Linked DNA regions of Stegostoma tigrinum. The protein of the gene in region 2 interacts with the protein of the main gene of each other region in a pairwise test. Links are inferred from orthologs where the notes say so. Each region holds a gene or a part of one and is shown on either strand. Other genes may lie near its edges.

What was found.
Region 1: the proteins of rtn1a (region 2) and ugcg interact in a two-hybrid assay, tested with the Homo sapiens proteins (2 studies listed by BioGRID and IntAct). The link is inferred for Stegostoma tigrinum from reciprocal best matches to the Homo sapiens genes RTN1 and UGCG.

What each region holds. Positions count from the first base shown.
Region 1 is NC_081356.1:31,642,843-31,650,717, reverse strand, and holds the start of ugcg (ceramide glucosyltransferase), read right to left. Parts: upstream 3,005-7,875; 5' UTR 2,878-3,004; coding exon 2,780-2,877; intron 1-2,779. UniProt on the Homo sapiens protein: Participates in the initial step of the glucosylceramide-based glycosphingolipid/GSL synthetic pathway at the cytosolic surface of the Golgi.
Region 2 is NC_081363.1:31,103,731-31,110,917, reverse strand, and holds the start of rtn1a (reticulon-1a), read right to left. Parts: upstream 3,016-7,187; 5' UTR 2,856-3,015; coding exon 2,633-2,855; intron 1-2,632. UniProt on the Homo sapiens protein: Inhibits amyloid precursor protein processing, probably by blocking BACE1 activity.

The DNA.
Region 1 (7,875 bases), on a different chromosome or scaffold from region 2:
GACTTGAGGAGAGTGACTTTTAGCCACAGAAACCTTGGAAACTTTCTGTAAATCAGGTCACAGTTTCTAAAACAGGAAACTTCAGTAAGTGCAACGTCCATTTTTTAAAATCCCAAAAATGTAGTTTTGAGGGACATTTGAAAGAGAATGGGGAAGGGGAAATTTGTTACCATGATATGGCACATTAAACTATGTATTTGGTCACACAGGCTGCAAAATGTCTCAATGCAACTTTATAAAACTATTCATTCAACTTTAGTTTAAAAAGGTTAAATCCTTGTAGAAAATTCCCTTCAAATTAGTGATTTAGTGCACTACAGCCACAGTTATGTGGACTAACAAATGGTTAAGGATCAGCTGAATTCACGTGACTAGCAAAGTTGCAACTGAAAGTTTACAAAGGAACATATAAAAGGAATAGATAGATGCGCCACCGCAAAGCCACAGTGACAAAAGGCCACAGATCAAAAACTTTCAGCCATTAGGCATCGAGGGGCAAATAATACATAGAGAATCCTTCAGGCTTCATGTTTGGCACTGAATGAATGTGTAACATGTATTGCAACCGTACTGAGATGCCCAACAGTGCAACATACTCAATGGAGAAAACTGGAATAACATTGCACTTCTGTAATGCCTAAATTGAATTGTGCTTTTAGCTATTTTGTGAGCAAAGTATATTTTGAAAAACGAGAGTTGTTGCAAAAGACTATTTGATAACTGAAAAAAAGAGTTAACAAATCTCATTTGACCAAAATTTACAGCATCAGTTGGCAGGTGGTGCAGTGCACTTCAATAAACAAATTCCATGAACAAGATATAACATTAGCAGTACTTTCACAATATTAACACATTTACACACAGACTATGACACACAAAAGCCACGACTGCAACTCTATCAGTGTTCTTCTATTAGTGAAGCTCAACCTTCAGTGACAGCTCTGCAAGAAGCAGAGGCCATGCACAAGCTTCGGGCAGGCTACTAGATTAACAGCTGGTTTGAGATAGCCCTACCAGTGAAGAATAAATAGTAACTGTAGTTTTTCTATCCCTAAGGGAACCATAGGGGAGTAATATGGCCAGAAGGATTAAAGGGATTGTTGTGATATTTCAACTGCCATATATTTTGTTTTGTACTTGGTTGTCCTAAACATCACTAATGTAAATGGGGCAAATTCCAGAATATCAAGAGGCTGAATGCATTATAGGACACTGGGAAGTAGGCATGAAATCAGCAATGAGGTAAAAGGGCATGTCCTCTTGAGTTTCCAATTATACCCCTTTCCAGTGAAATTCCTTCCCTGCTAATGGGCAGCAACTTTTTACAGTGCCAACCCCATGAGCCCTCACTTACCACACCTGCATGTCGAAAGTCAAATTATTCAACTGTGGTGCATCGCTGCAGATCAATATCCAAAAACTTACTTTCAATACAGTTTACTTGATAACAAAATCAGAAGCCGAAACGCTACGCAATTTTCCTTCCGTTAAAGATGCACTCAGTTCCATAATGCCATTCTGATAAAGATTAGGTCCTTCATCACAGATTGGGATTTGAACACAAATGTCCTGAGCACCTATACTGCACACCAAGAAAATTGCTGCCCAAAATTATTTTGCCTTCTCATTTTCCTACAGAATAGGACTTTAGTGGTGATTTAAAGCACATCATGTTTTTTTAAAAAAGGGCATGTTTACAGACTAATTGTTTCTCCCCAAGTAAAGACCCATTTCTCATCACCAGACTGGGAGAGTTTACAAAAATACATTTCACATTGTTAAGCACAGTGCTAGACATGCTATTTCCATTGCCAGAGGAAAGGATTTCCTGAATTGTATCCTTTTGGGCCACATGAACAAACCACCCTCCATCAATACTTGTTAAAACAATGCTATTTTATCTTTCGTCAAATCACTTACAAACAAGAAAAAGATCAATACTGTTTCCTAAAAGGCGCTGACGATGATGGAAAGAAACAAAGGTAAAAACTGCTTTATGATGGGGCTGGGGTGGGGGAGGGAAGAAGAGTTTGCATCATTGCCATCATAATATTACTACACGCAAAGACGTATTTTAATACAGTTTATGACACAGGGCTGTATCTCTTTTCGGCTAAAAGGGTTTCGCACACCATCACCAGGACTATGCTTTTATTATTGAGGTTTTATTTTAACCCATGCTGAAATTAATTACACTTTTTAAATATTCTGTTTGATTTTCAGAAACCTAGATGATACATTTCGTCTACCCTATTTCGAAAAAAAATGAAGTGTAATTGAGAAGAGAACGTGAAACATACACTTGTCTATTTCAATTATCGATGTGTTTAAATAATTAAGTGATAAGATTTCAAAAGATTTTTTAAGCAAAATAGAACAGAAGGGAATGGGCTTTTTTGTTACGATAAAAAACCAAGGACAATCGAGAACTCGTTTCACATCAAAGGGAGAGATCGGCATTAAGAGAAACAAATAGGATATAATTAAACAGAATCCCCTCCCACCCAAGGGGGTGTAGGATTGGGGGACATATTAAAATAAATACAAGGCCCAAGCTAACCCTGATGCGCAGTAGGCCCCGATTCAGTCAGACATCGAAAATAAAGTTAAAATGTTTCATTATAAAAGCTGAGCGGTCGAGGCCGTCAGGCCGGACTCGCGCTGAGTCCTCAACAGTTAAACTAACCCTAACCTACTGGCAAATGGTGAGAGATAAGGGATAAATGACCCCGTCCTGCCCACAAACAGAAACTCCCACCCCAATTCCCCCTCTTCTTACCCGTAGACGATGGACATGAAGTGCATCAACCACAGGATGACAAACAGGATCAGGCCGAAAACGGAGAGACCCTGCAGAGCAAGTTCCAGCACCGCCATTCCACTGTACCCCGCCGGCCCACGTCTCTCTCCCGGGACGGTGACTCACTCTGAACAGTTCCTCTCCCCGGTCACACTCCGTCTCCCTCAGTCCCAGCGCGGCTCTGACTCAGTCGCAGGATCCGCCCCTTCGGTCCGGTCAGCCCCTCCCCCAAAAGGCCGAAGTCCAGACTCCGCCCCCTCTGCCTGAGACCCCTCCGCTCACAACACCCCAGCCGGAACCACAACCGGAAGGAGCCCTCTTAGACGCCAGTTCTTTAGGGACTTGTTCACAGATTCTGCTCCCACCTTAGAGAATCCCTCACAGACGCCAGCTCCTGAGGGAGTCTCTCACAGATTCCAACTCTAAACAAGTCTTCACAAGTCTGCCCTGGAGCGTGTGCCTCAGACTCAACTCTATGAAGGAGGCTGTAACAGACTCATCCTTCGCCTAAGGGATCCCTCACAGACCTGTCATTCCGAAGGAGTACCTTTCAGACTCTGCCTCCCTTCAACGGGGTCCCTCAGACCCTGACCCCTGAGAGCACCCATCACAGACCTAATCCCAAAGACTCCACCTTCTGCAGGAATCCCTTATAGACCTTGTCCTGGAAGGTGTACCTCACTCTACCTGCTGATGGAGTCCCTTACAGACCCTGCCCTGGTGGGAGTCCCACAAAGACTCCACCCATGGAGGATTCCCTTACAAACCATACCTCCTGAGTGTTTCCCTCAGAGACCCTGTCCTATTGGGGAATGCTTCACACATCACCACTGAGGATGTCCCTCTCAGAACTCACTGTCTGCCCAACCTAGGAAATCCTCAGAATTCACCTTCTGAGGGATTTGTACAAAACCTGGCGTCTAAGTGACCCTGGCAGACAGCTCCAAGGAACCCTCACAAAGCCCATGCTTTTCAGGTAATCTCATTTCGGGAGACTCTGATGATTTCCATCAGCTGAGGAGGGACTCTTAAAAACCCTGTCCTTTAAGGCACCTTAAAGATGCTATAACATGTGCTCCTAAGATGCTGCTTGGCCTGCTGCATTCATCCAGCTCCACACTTTGTTATCTCAGATTCTCCAGCATCTGCAGTTCCCATTATCTCTCGCAGAACCAGACCTTACTCCTTTGATAGTCACTCATACACTGAAGGAATGTAATGTCCCTAATGATAACATCATAAAATGTTAGAACTACTGCATTTAGTTTAACTTTTCTTTGCAGGTTTTGGTTTAAGTATTCTTTAGGTATTTTCTAATCAACCTGCTCAAATGTTGTTATGCGCTTTGGGAGCTGGTGAGACTTGAACCTAAGCTTCATGATTTGGAGGTGTGGATACTATCACTGTGACACAAGTCTCTAAATTTTTTTTAATCTTTGGTAAAAACAAAGTACTATGAATGCTGAAATTTGGAAAATAAATGCTAACGAAACCCAGAAGGTCTGGAAGCATCTGTGGGTAGAGATGAGTCATGTCACACTCAGTTTTGAAACAAATACAATATTATTTCTGAGATAACAAGGTGTATAGCTGGATGAACACAGCAGGCCAAGCAGCATCAGAGGAGCAGGAAAGCTGATGTTTTGGATCTGGACCCTCTGAAGAAGGGGCCAGACCTGAAACGCCAGCTTTCCTGCTCCAATGATGATGCTTGGCCTGCTGTGTTTATCGAGCTCTACACCTTGTTTTCTCAGATTGTCCAGCATTGGCATCCTACTATCTCTGAAATGATATTAATTCTGTTTCTTTCTCCATAGGCACTGTCAGACGTACTGAGTTTTTCTAGCATTTTACTTTTATTTGGTTTCAATTAGCAGCTGTTAATTATTCTGCTATTCATTTTCTAGAGACCTTATTTTATTCATTTTAAACACCCTTACTGAAGTCATCATAAACTCTCACTTTTGTTTTCTTACAACTTCCATTTTTTTAAAACCTACATTCATTTTTTCTTTACAGAAGATGATTGACTTGAACAATTCTGTTTCTTCCCCCACAGCTTTCACCTGGCCTCCAGCATTTTTTTTGGTTATTTCAGATTTCCAGCATCTGCATCATTTTGCTTTTGGTTCAATTTATGAAACAGATGAGGCAGGGAGGGGGGGAGGTTACCTGAGGGAACACTCAATCATCACTCCTTACCAGTTAAAACAGTCAGTGATTCTATGAATTATAATTTTCTTAACAAAAGGATGGAGACATTAGGTTTGTTTAGGAAAAGGAAAATAAAAGCAAAATACTACAGATGCTGGAATTCTGAAATTTAAAAAACTGGGAAAAAAAACATTTCTCGCATCAGCTGTGAAGTCTTTACCTACTTCGTCACAAATGCTGCCAGACTTGCCTGAGTATTATGATTAAAAAGGAACCGTTTCCCTGTAAAATAGGTCTATCTTAGCAAAAACAATTAGTTGATCAAAGGAATCATCTTAGCATTTAAGGTTTAGTTGCGAAGGGTAATCAGCTGTTCAAATAAGATCTGGATATAAGTTAGCATTGGGTTCTGTTGCTCAGTATTATGGGATCAGCTCCTCAGGATTAAGGGATCTATCGTTTAGCAAAGTAATCAGTTTCTTGATCAACTTGTAGAGAAATCTGCCTTTGAGCAATGGAATCAGGATTTAAAATAGGAAGGAATTTAGTTCAGCTATAAGCTAAGTAGATCTTCTTATCAAAATTACTAGCTTCTGGGCACGCAAATTAATTTTTATTCCAAGAGGTGCACAGCCATTTCCAGCACTGACATTGGCACGCAAAGACTATTTCTCATGGGCTCATGATAAATTTGCGTCCATAGCAACTGGTAACATCACAACACCAAAAAGCCTTGTTGGATAGCAGTTGCATCTGAAATTTCTTGAGAAATGCCCAAATCCCATACATGAGTGATAGCAGAAGGCACATCTGATGCTTCGGCTGAAGTTTAACCTTTTGGTAAACTCCTAGAGCTAATGCAGCTGCAGCAGAACTGCTCACAATACAAGACAGAAGAGAAACCAATTGCATACATCTCAGTAAATCGAAACATTTCACAGCGAGCATTGCTGCTATAACTGTATAAAATATTAGTTTATCTGCATTAGAGTGCTGCATATGGAATTCACATCACAGCATGGGTATGATTGCACTAGAAAGGATATAGACATAGATTAACAACAAAAACAGAAACCCAAGAGTTGCAATAGCTGGAAATCTGAAAATAAAATCAGAAATTGCTGGTGGAGCTCTGCAGGTCTGGTGCGTTTATGGAAAGAAAACAAAATTAACCTTTCAAATCCAGCGACCCCTCTTTAGACAGGATTAATAATGATGTTAATGATGATAATACAGAATTTTAGTTATGAAGAAAATAATGATGGATTGAAGTTGTTTCCTTTGGAAGAGTGGACACTCACAAAAGATTCAACAGAGGCATACATAATTGTAAGGAACTATTGACCTTTACAGATAGATCAATAAACAAGGGCACTGTAGCGACTGGAACGAGGGCCACGTGGTTCTCTTTGTCTATGAGATCCTTAATTGGGGCTGTTAACCTGGGCCAATCAGGGAGGCCTGGTTGACAGATATAAACAGCAGATTCAGAGCATCTCATTGTTCTAGGACTGAGTCTGAGCTGGCTGGTCAGAGTCCATGAACTATGCACATGTAAATAAAGAGTGATTTGGTGCCAGGATACTGACCTCTGTGCAGCTATTTCTGGGACATAGGTTTAATTGGTAAAAGAACTAGAAGGGAGTTGAGACTCTTCTTTGACCAGAGGGTGATGAAGGTTTATAGCATATTTCCCTTTAGGTTGGTGGAGGCAAACACCATAACTGTACATTAAAAGTATGCATTTGATGTGTCATAACTACAGAACTGTGGGCCACCAGCTAGAAAGTGTGATTAAGACTGGGAACTTGACTGGCACATATTGGGCTGAATGGTCTCCTTCAGTGTCCGAACTTCTATTTTTCTCCAGTACACACTCATGTATCATACTGTATGTGGAGATGGATTAGTGTCCTTATGCTTGAGGAAAGGTACTAATACTATAAGAATAAAATCAAATACCAAACAGTAATTTTATTCATTTAGTAGCATCTATTTCCATTTTATTAACCATGTATGATCAGTTTGTACTTTCCCATACAGATTTATCTTTTCACCTCAAAATTCTGCACATAAACTGCATTAAAGTCATAATTAGTACACAGTCAAAGAGTAATAAAAGTTATTGAAATGTTACAACTAATGAAGACATATTGCTCCCTATACTTCTGTAATTACATTTTCATTAATATAGAATATGGTCAGGAAAGTATCAAGGACCAGAAAGAACTACACTGAGAGAAAGAACTACACCAAGTGAAAGAAGAAAATATAAAGGGATTTGGTTAAAATCAAAGCTGCTAGCATTATAGATGATCTTAAAGGAGTGGGTATCAAGCAAAAGACATCAGCCAATATTTACTTTGATTGGGCCACGCATGAAGTATATATTCCATTGCATTCTTTAAAGAATAAATGTCATGAGGATAATTCACAGGATGTTTGCTGCATCAGTTATTGTTGCTTTTCTCAAGCTGCCAGTAAAACTTTTGAAGAAAACAGATGTACCCACACCAAGTTACTCATGAATCCTGATTATTGATAATGGATCGATTACATGTTGTTATTTCTTCTCAAACATGATGCTGTGCAACACAGAATATAGTTTTGTGACATTTGTTAATGTTGATTATTTGCCATCAGCTTTTAATTTAATTTCCCCCTGAGCCAACTCACTTCCCATAGATGCATAATTTGTTTGTTCAGATTTAAGACCCTGGTTTTGTACTTAGTTAAGTCACTTGCAAAACCAACATAAAATTAAGCCATTTTATGATCATTCATCCCCATAAGTCATTTTACTACACAGTAAGTAATTGATCCTATGTCATTTCATGGTTCTGCATTTTAAATAATCTGTTCCTTAATTGGTCCTTCAGTATGTGGATTTAGAAAAGTATCTTGAATGGAATCCATTAACT
Region 2 (7,187 bases):
ACTGTTCCATTGTTGCATTTTTTGAATTGCCTCCTCTGCTGGTACTCCTAGGTTGGTATAATCTACAAGTTTGAGTAATTTGCTCCAATATTCCGAATCTAAAACTTAACATGGATTTCAAAAATTGGGTTGCAATAATCCTTGGGGATTACCACATACTCTAATGAGCAATTGACTGCTTTCTACTCTTTATTTTCAATTGTTTGCAGGTGTTTCTCTAAATTTTAAATTTAATAAAATAGCTTGTGCTTGTGACTATGCCACATTTATTTTAGAAGTCAAGAGACACTATATTTTCAGGCTTTCCAAGCTAGATTTGGAAAATTAACCTCGAATTTCAGTTCCCCAAATTAAAGCCAATGTGACGTGATCACTTTCTTCTGAAATTACATTGATCATAACTTACTAATTTATAAAATGCACTTACTTTAAAATGCTGAAGTATACACATTTGGTGCCAACTTCAGTTTGTTTTGCTACTGAGCCATACAATCAAAAACAGAAAGTGACATTTTGAGAACAATGAATATTTTAGATGCCTGCATTCAGGATCACCATGTGGGATTCATCTGACATGTCAAATATTCATTTCTTTTTCTAAATAACTAACAAAGACTTCCCCACTAAATGAACTGGTTCTTTAATTTTATAAATAGCCTATATTGCATTTTTACTCACAAATCCTACACAGCCAAAATGTCATGTTCAAAGCAACAATTAATTTCAATTAACCAACCTCCAATAACCAGTACATGTTAAATACATTTTTTTAAAATCATTCTTGGGACATAGAAATCACTAGCTGGCCAGCATTTACTGCGTGTCCTGAGTTGCTCCCAAGAAGGTGGGGACGAGCTGCCTTCTTGAGCAGCATCAGTTTGTGTGTTGTAGGTAGACCCACAATGTCCTTGGGGAGAGAATTCCAGTATTTTGACCCAGCAGAATTTTTATAAAGTGCATTTATATATATATATATATAAATAAAATGATCTGGTACTTGGTATGCAGAGGATAATTTCAAAGTTTGCAGATGGCATTAAACTTTGAAGAACTGTAAACTGTGAGGAGAATATTGTGGAACTCCAAACGAACATTGGCAAGTTGTTGGAGTGGGCAGGTAGGTTCAATGCAGAAAAACACATGGTCCTGAATTTTGGTCAGAAGAACACAAAGACAATATAGAGGGCACAAGGAGGGTACCAGGGTATAGAGATCTGGATGTAAATGTGCACAGATCTTTGAATGTGGCACGACATGTGAAGAAGAATATAGCATAGTATTCTCAGTTTTATTCATAGGGCATGGAATACAAGACCAGGGAGGTGATGTTGAACTTGTATAAGACATTTGTTAGACCACAGCTGGTGTAATGCACACAGTTGTGGCTGCCACATTATAGGAAAAATGGAAGGCATTGTGAGACAGCAGAAGCAATTTACAAAGAATAGTTCCAGGAATGAAATGCTTCAGCTACAACAATTGATAGAAGAGGTTGTGTCTGTTCTCCCTGTGGAGAAGGCAGTTGAGCGGAGATCCCATTGTGGTTTTCATGAGTGGGCTTGAAGAATAAGTAGAGTGAAGTTGTTTCCACTTGTAGTAGAAACAGGATTGAGAGGAAAATTTATAGATATAAAGATATGTGCAAACAGAGTGAGGTTGATGTGAGAGAAAAAGGAACTTGTTCACTCTTAAGGAATGCATTGACTGGAAACATGGTGAAGGCAGATTCAACTGAGGCATTCAAGGGGACACTGAATGTATTTTCAGGTAACAATGAGGTGCAAGATCTGGGGAAAAGGCAAGAAATTAAAACATGATAATAAAACTGGTAAAGCATGATGGGCTGAATGATCTCCTTCTGTACTATCTTCTTGTGAGTCTGAGAACTTTATACTAATTTGACTTCATATTGATTGCCCATCCAACAAGAGTCAAACAACTGCTATGCAGTCAGATTTTGACCAGACCAGATGAGGACAGCTGTTAACATAATATCTGCAAATGACACTAGTGAACCAGAGGGCCTTTTATTCCAGAATTTTATTGAATTGAAATTTCATCATCTGCCATGGTGAGATGCTAAAACCATGTGCCCAGAACATTAGCCTGGGGTTCTGGATTACTAGGCATATCACTACACCACTGGCTTAATTCAACTCATGGTTAAGTTTAAAACACAATCTGCATCTAGAAAACAAAATCCCAATAGTTAACTGATTTAAAGGGTGCCATTAATACCACAAAAATTCGTCAGATGTCATAACTTAAAAACTTGTTTCAAACTGGAATTAAGCTGACTTCACCCTGTTCTAACAATCTGCCTCAGGATTAATGCCAACATTTTTAACAAAGAATCCAGTGAATTGTGCCAATTTCTATCAGACAGGGCAAAAATGCGTCTGCAGCATTAAAAATACATAAAGATTATATTCGGTGTGTCCATAACGGTGTGTCCATAATTTCAAAAGCTGACATTTCAAACATTAATGAAATGCTATTTAACCGGTCGCTGTATTCAAAAGCGACATGATCGACCTTTTAAAAAATCTTTGTGAATTGAGTAAACGATCGTATCTTATGCATAATCCGACTTCCAAACATATCTGCAGTCGGTCCACCCGCCCCACCTTACCTGCGGATGCAGTTGCCTTGGTAACAGGCTGACCCCTAGAGTCTGGCACAAGGGGCTGCTCCACCCCGGCTCGCCAGCTCTCGGCTGCTGCAGCTGCATCCCCCCCACCAACAGCCGCCCCCGCCTGCGGACTGGCACCAATACCACGATCTGTCTGCTCTGGCTCCTCGTCCTCTCCCCACTGTCCCTTTGCAAACGGCTGAACGAAAGGATTGCTTGCCATAGTGAATGGGCGGATGGATGGATTGCGAAAAGGTCCCAGATTTTTTTTTAAAGAACTTGGTCTCTTTGTGCAACTGTTTTCACAGCTCCTCTCCACCTCTCACTCTGAAGCCTGTACGCATGTGAAAATGGCTTGTTTGGTTCAATGTTTCTACCCTGACGTCAGCTGTGGGAGGATGAACTTAAAGATTGAAGTGGCTGATGGGAATCATTCTGACTACAGCTGAACGTAAATACTTATGTACCAGAAGTTAATCAAAAAGATTACCACCTTTCCAAGTTTAAATATATATATTTGAACATTGAAAGTTGTGACTATTTCTAAAATGTCACAAATGTTATACCCTGCAGTCGCTGCAAAAATTTGTCCCTACAATGAATTATTTAGAACCTATATCTGATCTGTATTCATATGCCTGGCCGATGTCTGAGTGATCATGTTTTATTTAACATCCCACGTCTCTCGACTTGGGAATGAAAAGTAGCTGCTAGGTTTTAACTATTCACATATATTCATGTCGCACCCATTGAGACTTGTGGAATTTTGACTCGCGTATTGCTTGTGCATGACACCACCTTAGAGCTTCTTTTGTCTACATTAGGCTGTTCCTTCCCCGCGCACCTTAGCACAAAATATAACAAAGGGGATCAATATCGTTTCTCTTCAGAGGTATTCTCATTTTTCATGTCATTTGCAGACTTGATTATATACGGAAAAAAAACTTAAAAGTAGTTTATTTGGAGCACACGCCCAACCCCAGAAAAGTGACATCAAAATTTCTGTTATACTGTTTAGAGAATGACCACGAAATCCGCAAAATATATACTGGGAAAGGGAACAAAATGTGAATGTCATTGTTTTGTGGACTATGAGACTGAACAGGGTAATTCAGTTTGCTAAACATACAAAACTAAACCAGTCACACGAATTATCTCGATTCTTGAAATGGGTTGATGAAGATATCTCCTCCCTAAAGCTTTCTAGTTTAGATACTGAAGCAGTTCAGAACAGAAAAGTGCCTTCTTGGAAAGTACTGTACTTAGATTGATATTTAGATTATGATTGATATTGATGGCTATCCAATTCAAAATGAATAAAAGGTAGATGCATCAAATCAATCTTAATTAGATCAAATACACTAAATCTTAATAAGAACAGACAAAGTAGACTAAAATTACTTCAGATGTCTTCAAAAAATTGAGCAGAATTGAGAAACTTTATTGATCAAGCATAATACAGTAAATCATCAAATATAGACAATTATATGCACCAGCATACAACCTTTTAAGCAAAACAATAGCATAATGCATATTCTGCATTTGAGAAATTAAATACAAAATATAAAGAATTTGCTAAAGTTAGAAGCTTGCCAGTTGCCATTCCTAAAAGAAAAACCAATTTACAAAAATGCTTAATAGAAAAGACAGTCCAAACAATGTCTTGTGATTGGTACCAAAGCGTCTGATATGTAGGTGTGAAACAGTGGTACAACACCACTGTAATTTTTTTTAAATTCCTCAAATTATTTCCCTGCTGGCAAAGTACAGGAGATAAACAACAATGCATGGAGCTTGTGCACAGTGCCTTCTAAAATGATGACTCTGTAGATTTTTTTATAGTAGATGAAGTGATTTGAAAGAACTTGAACAACAACTTCAAATAATTTTGAATAATGCTTCAAAATCTCAGAAATTCTAACACCTTTGAGAAGAATTGCAGCAAAGTTTTGATGGCAACAATTTATATACTTAAGTTGTAACTCTGCTACCTGTAATTTTAATCCTTAACAAAATCTTGAAAAAAAATTTGGCAAGGTCAAAAGCAGTTTTACAACCAAAAAACCATTTTCCATTTCTAGAAATAGACAATAATAGACAATTTTTCATGTATCAAATTCCTACGAAGAATTGTTACAAGTTAGGCTCCTGCTTTAGAGGTTTGCCTAGATATAACAGTACTCATTGTATCAAGTAGTCTGAGCATCTTACAGTAGATGTTCATCTGTAACACAAAACTATAACAGTAATCTCCCTTATAGTCTTAATTGAATATTTTTGTTCAATGTGCATACCTGTTGCTCTAATCTTTTAAAACTGGACCAAAACGATAGACCTGTGTAACAGGCAATGACAGGGGAACTGAATGCTTTGTAAACAGGTGATAAATTCAACCTCACTATAAGTATTCCATCAAGCTGAAATTTAATCTAACGTTAAGGATCAAATCTTGCAGGAGTCTGAGTGATGTGGGCTATGTTGAGATTTGTGGCAGAATCAGACAAGAAGTCCGGTGATGCCGATTTTGATGGCCAGAACATCTTGCCCATTTTTATACTTTTGACAAGTGGCAATTTTCTTCGTAGGTAGTGGTGAGTTGTTATTTCGGGGGTTGGGGTGGGGTGGGGTGGGATTTATTGCTTGTTAAACTCAACTCGCTCAACTAATATTCAGCTTCCTAATTTACCAAATAAGCTAGATGTTGTGAAAACGCAGAATGACTTGGGTAGGTGGTGTTACTCCCCAAGTATTTGATGCCCTTATCCTTCTAAATGTTGGTAGTTGTGGTTTTGTAAGATACTGTCCAAGGAAATTTCCACAGTGATTCTTCCAGATGGTACACACTGCTCCTACTGAACATCAATAATGGAGTAAATGAATGTCTGTACATGCAGTGCCAAACAAGTGAGGTGATAGTGGGTGAACAGGGCAGAGATTGCAGGCAGAGTGACATTGGGAGAACACGAGCCTTGGTGGAGGGTGGGTATGGTATCACAAATAGAATGAGTTTGAGGTATTATAAAGAAAATGTTGGCAGAGTGGAAAAAGTCATTGGCCTTCTTTCTAAAGTCCTGGCATTCCTCCAGACAGCCAAGAGTGAACAAAGAACAAAGAACAATACAGCGCAGAAACAGGCCTTTTGGCCCTCCAAGTCTGCACCCACACATTTTGCCCTTCCATACTAAAATTGTCCTCATTTACAGGGTGCAAATGACTACAGTGGAAAATCTACTTTGCAGTTGGAGCTAAGATATTTAACCTAAGGTCACAATGTTGACAATATATGCTGTTACACAATGTAACCAAAGAATATAACCAAAGAATTAAATGTTTTGTAAAAGTCAGAAATTTGGTATGAGTGAGGTCTTTTTGTAAAAAAAAGGTAGATGCTCTTTTTTACTTAATTTTACAGAAAACAGCTACAGCTCAGAGTTGTTGATGGGCTGTCGAAGCTTCAGATATTGAATCTGGAAGGGAAAAGATTGCTGCCATATCCCTCAGGTTTAAGGAAACTTAGAGTTGGCCAAGACAGGTTGGTATTGGAAATCTGGACACAGGAACCTTGTAATTTAGCTTTGGCCAACAGGTCCAAATTACTTTATAACTCATTCAGAGATATTAAGAACTGCCGATGCTGGAGTCAGAGATAAAACAGTGAGGAGCTGTAGGAGCACAGCAGGCCAGGCAGCAACAGAGGAGCAGGAAAGTTGATGTTTCGGGCCAGGACCCTTCTCCAGAAATACTTTATTGCTCCTGCAGCTCTACACTGTGTTATCTCTGACTCCAGCATCGGCAGTTCTTACTACCTCTGAGGTCCAAAGTACTTGTTGCTTATGTGAATGATAACAAGGACTACCAGCTAGATAGACAAACTGACCATCATACAGAAACAATATTCAAGTAGGTAAAATAAAAGGGAATGTGGAAGCGATAATGCAACAGTATAACTAACAGGCTAGTTACTGTTTTCAGCAGTGCTGAAGACTGTGTTTTGAGAAAATTCAGAGGCTTTGTTTTTGAATGCGAAGGTTTGACATCCCATGTGAAGTTGTCAACATTCTAAAAAGATTTGGTGACCCAAAGTGTCATTAACATCTGATTAGGTTGCTAGGTGTCCACAGGATCTATCTTGATCACACTTTTTAAAAACAAATGGGATTGGCTATCAATGCTGCTCCCCTTTTATTCACAGTCAGAAAGGAATGATTGTTACAGAATACCCGCTGATCATGTTTGTCATCTGCATGCCTTCATCTAAGATGATACAACAATTCAAATGGGGTGTCTTCATAAGGCACACTTCTGGTGGTGCATGAACAGATAACTAAGAGACAGGTTCACAACTGTTGCACATAAAGCAACTGAGTATCCTTGTGGCTGTTACCTTCCGTTTTGTTACTTTTGATAGTGGTGCAGTTTACCAAGCTGCATGATGGCAAGTTTTGGTCCATCCTTCAATTAAGAGTAACAAAGACATCATCTCAAAGATGGAATATTTCCCCAGCCCATCTAAAAATGACATTGGAATGGAGATTCAATCGACAAGCACTGATTT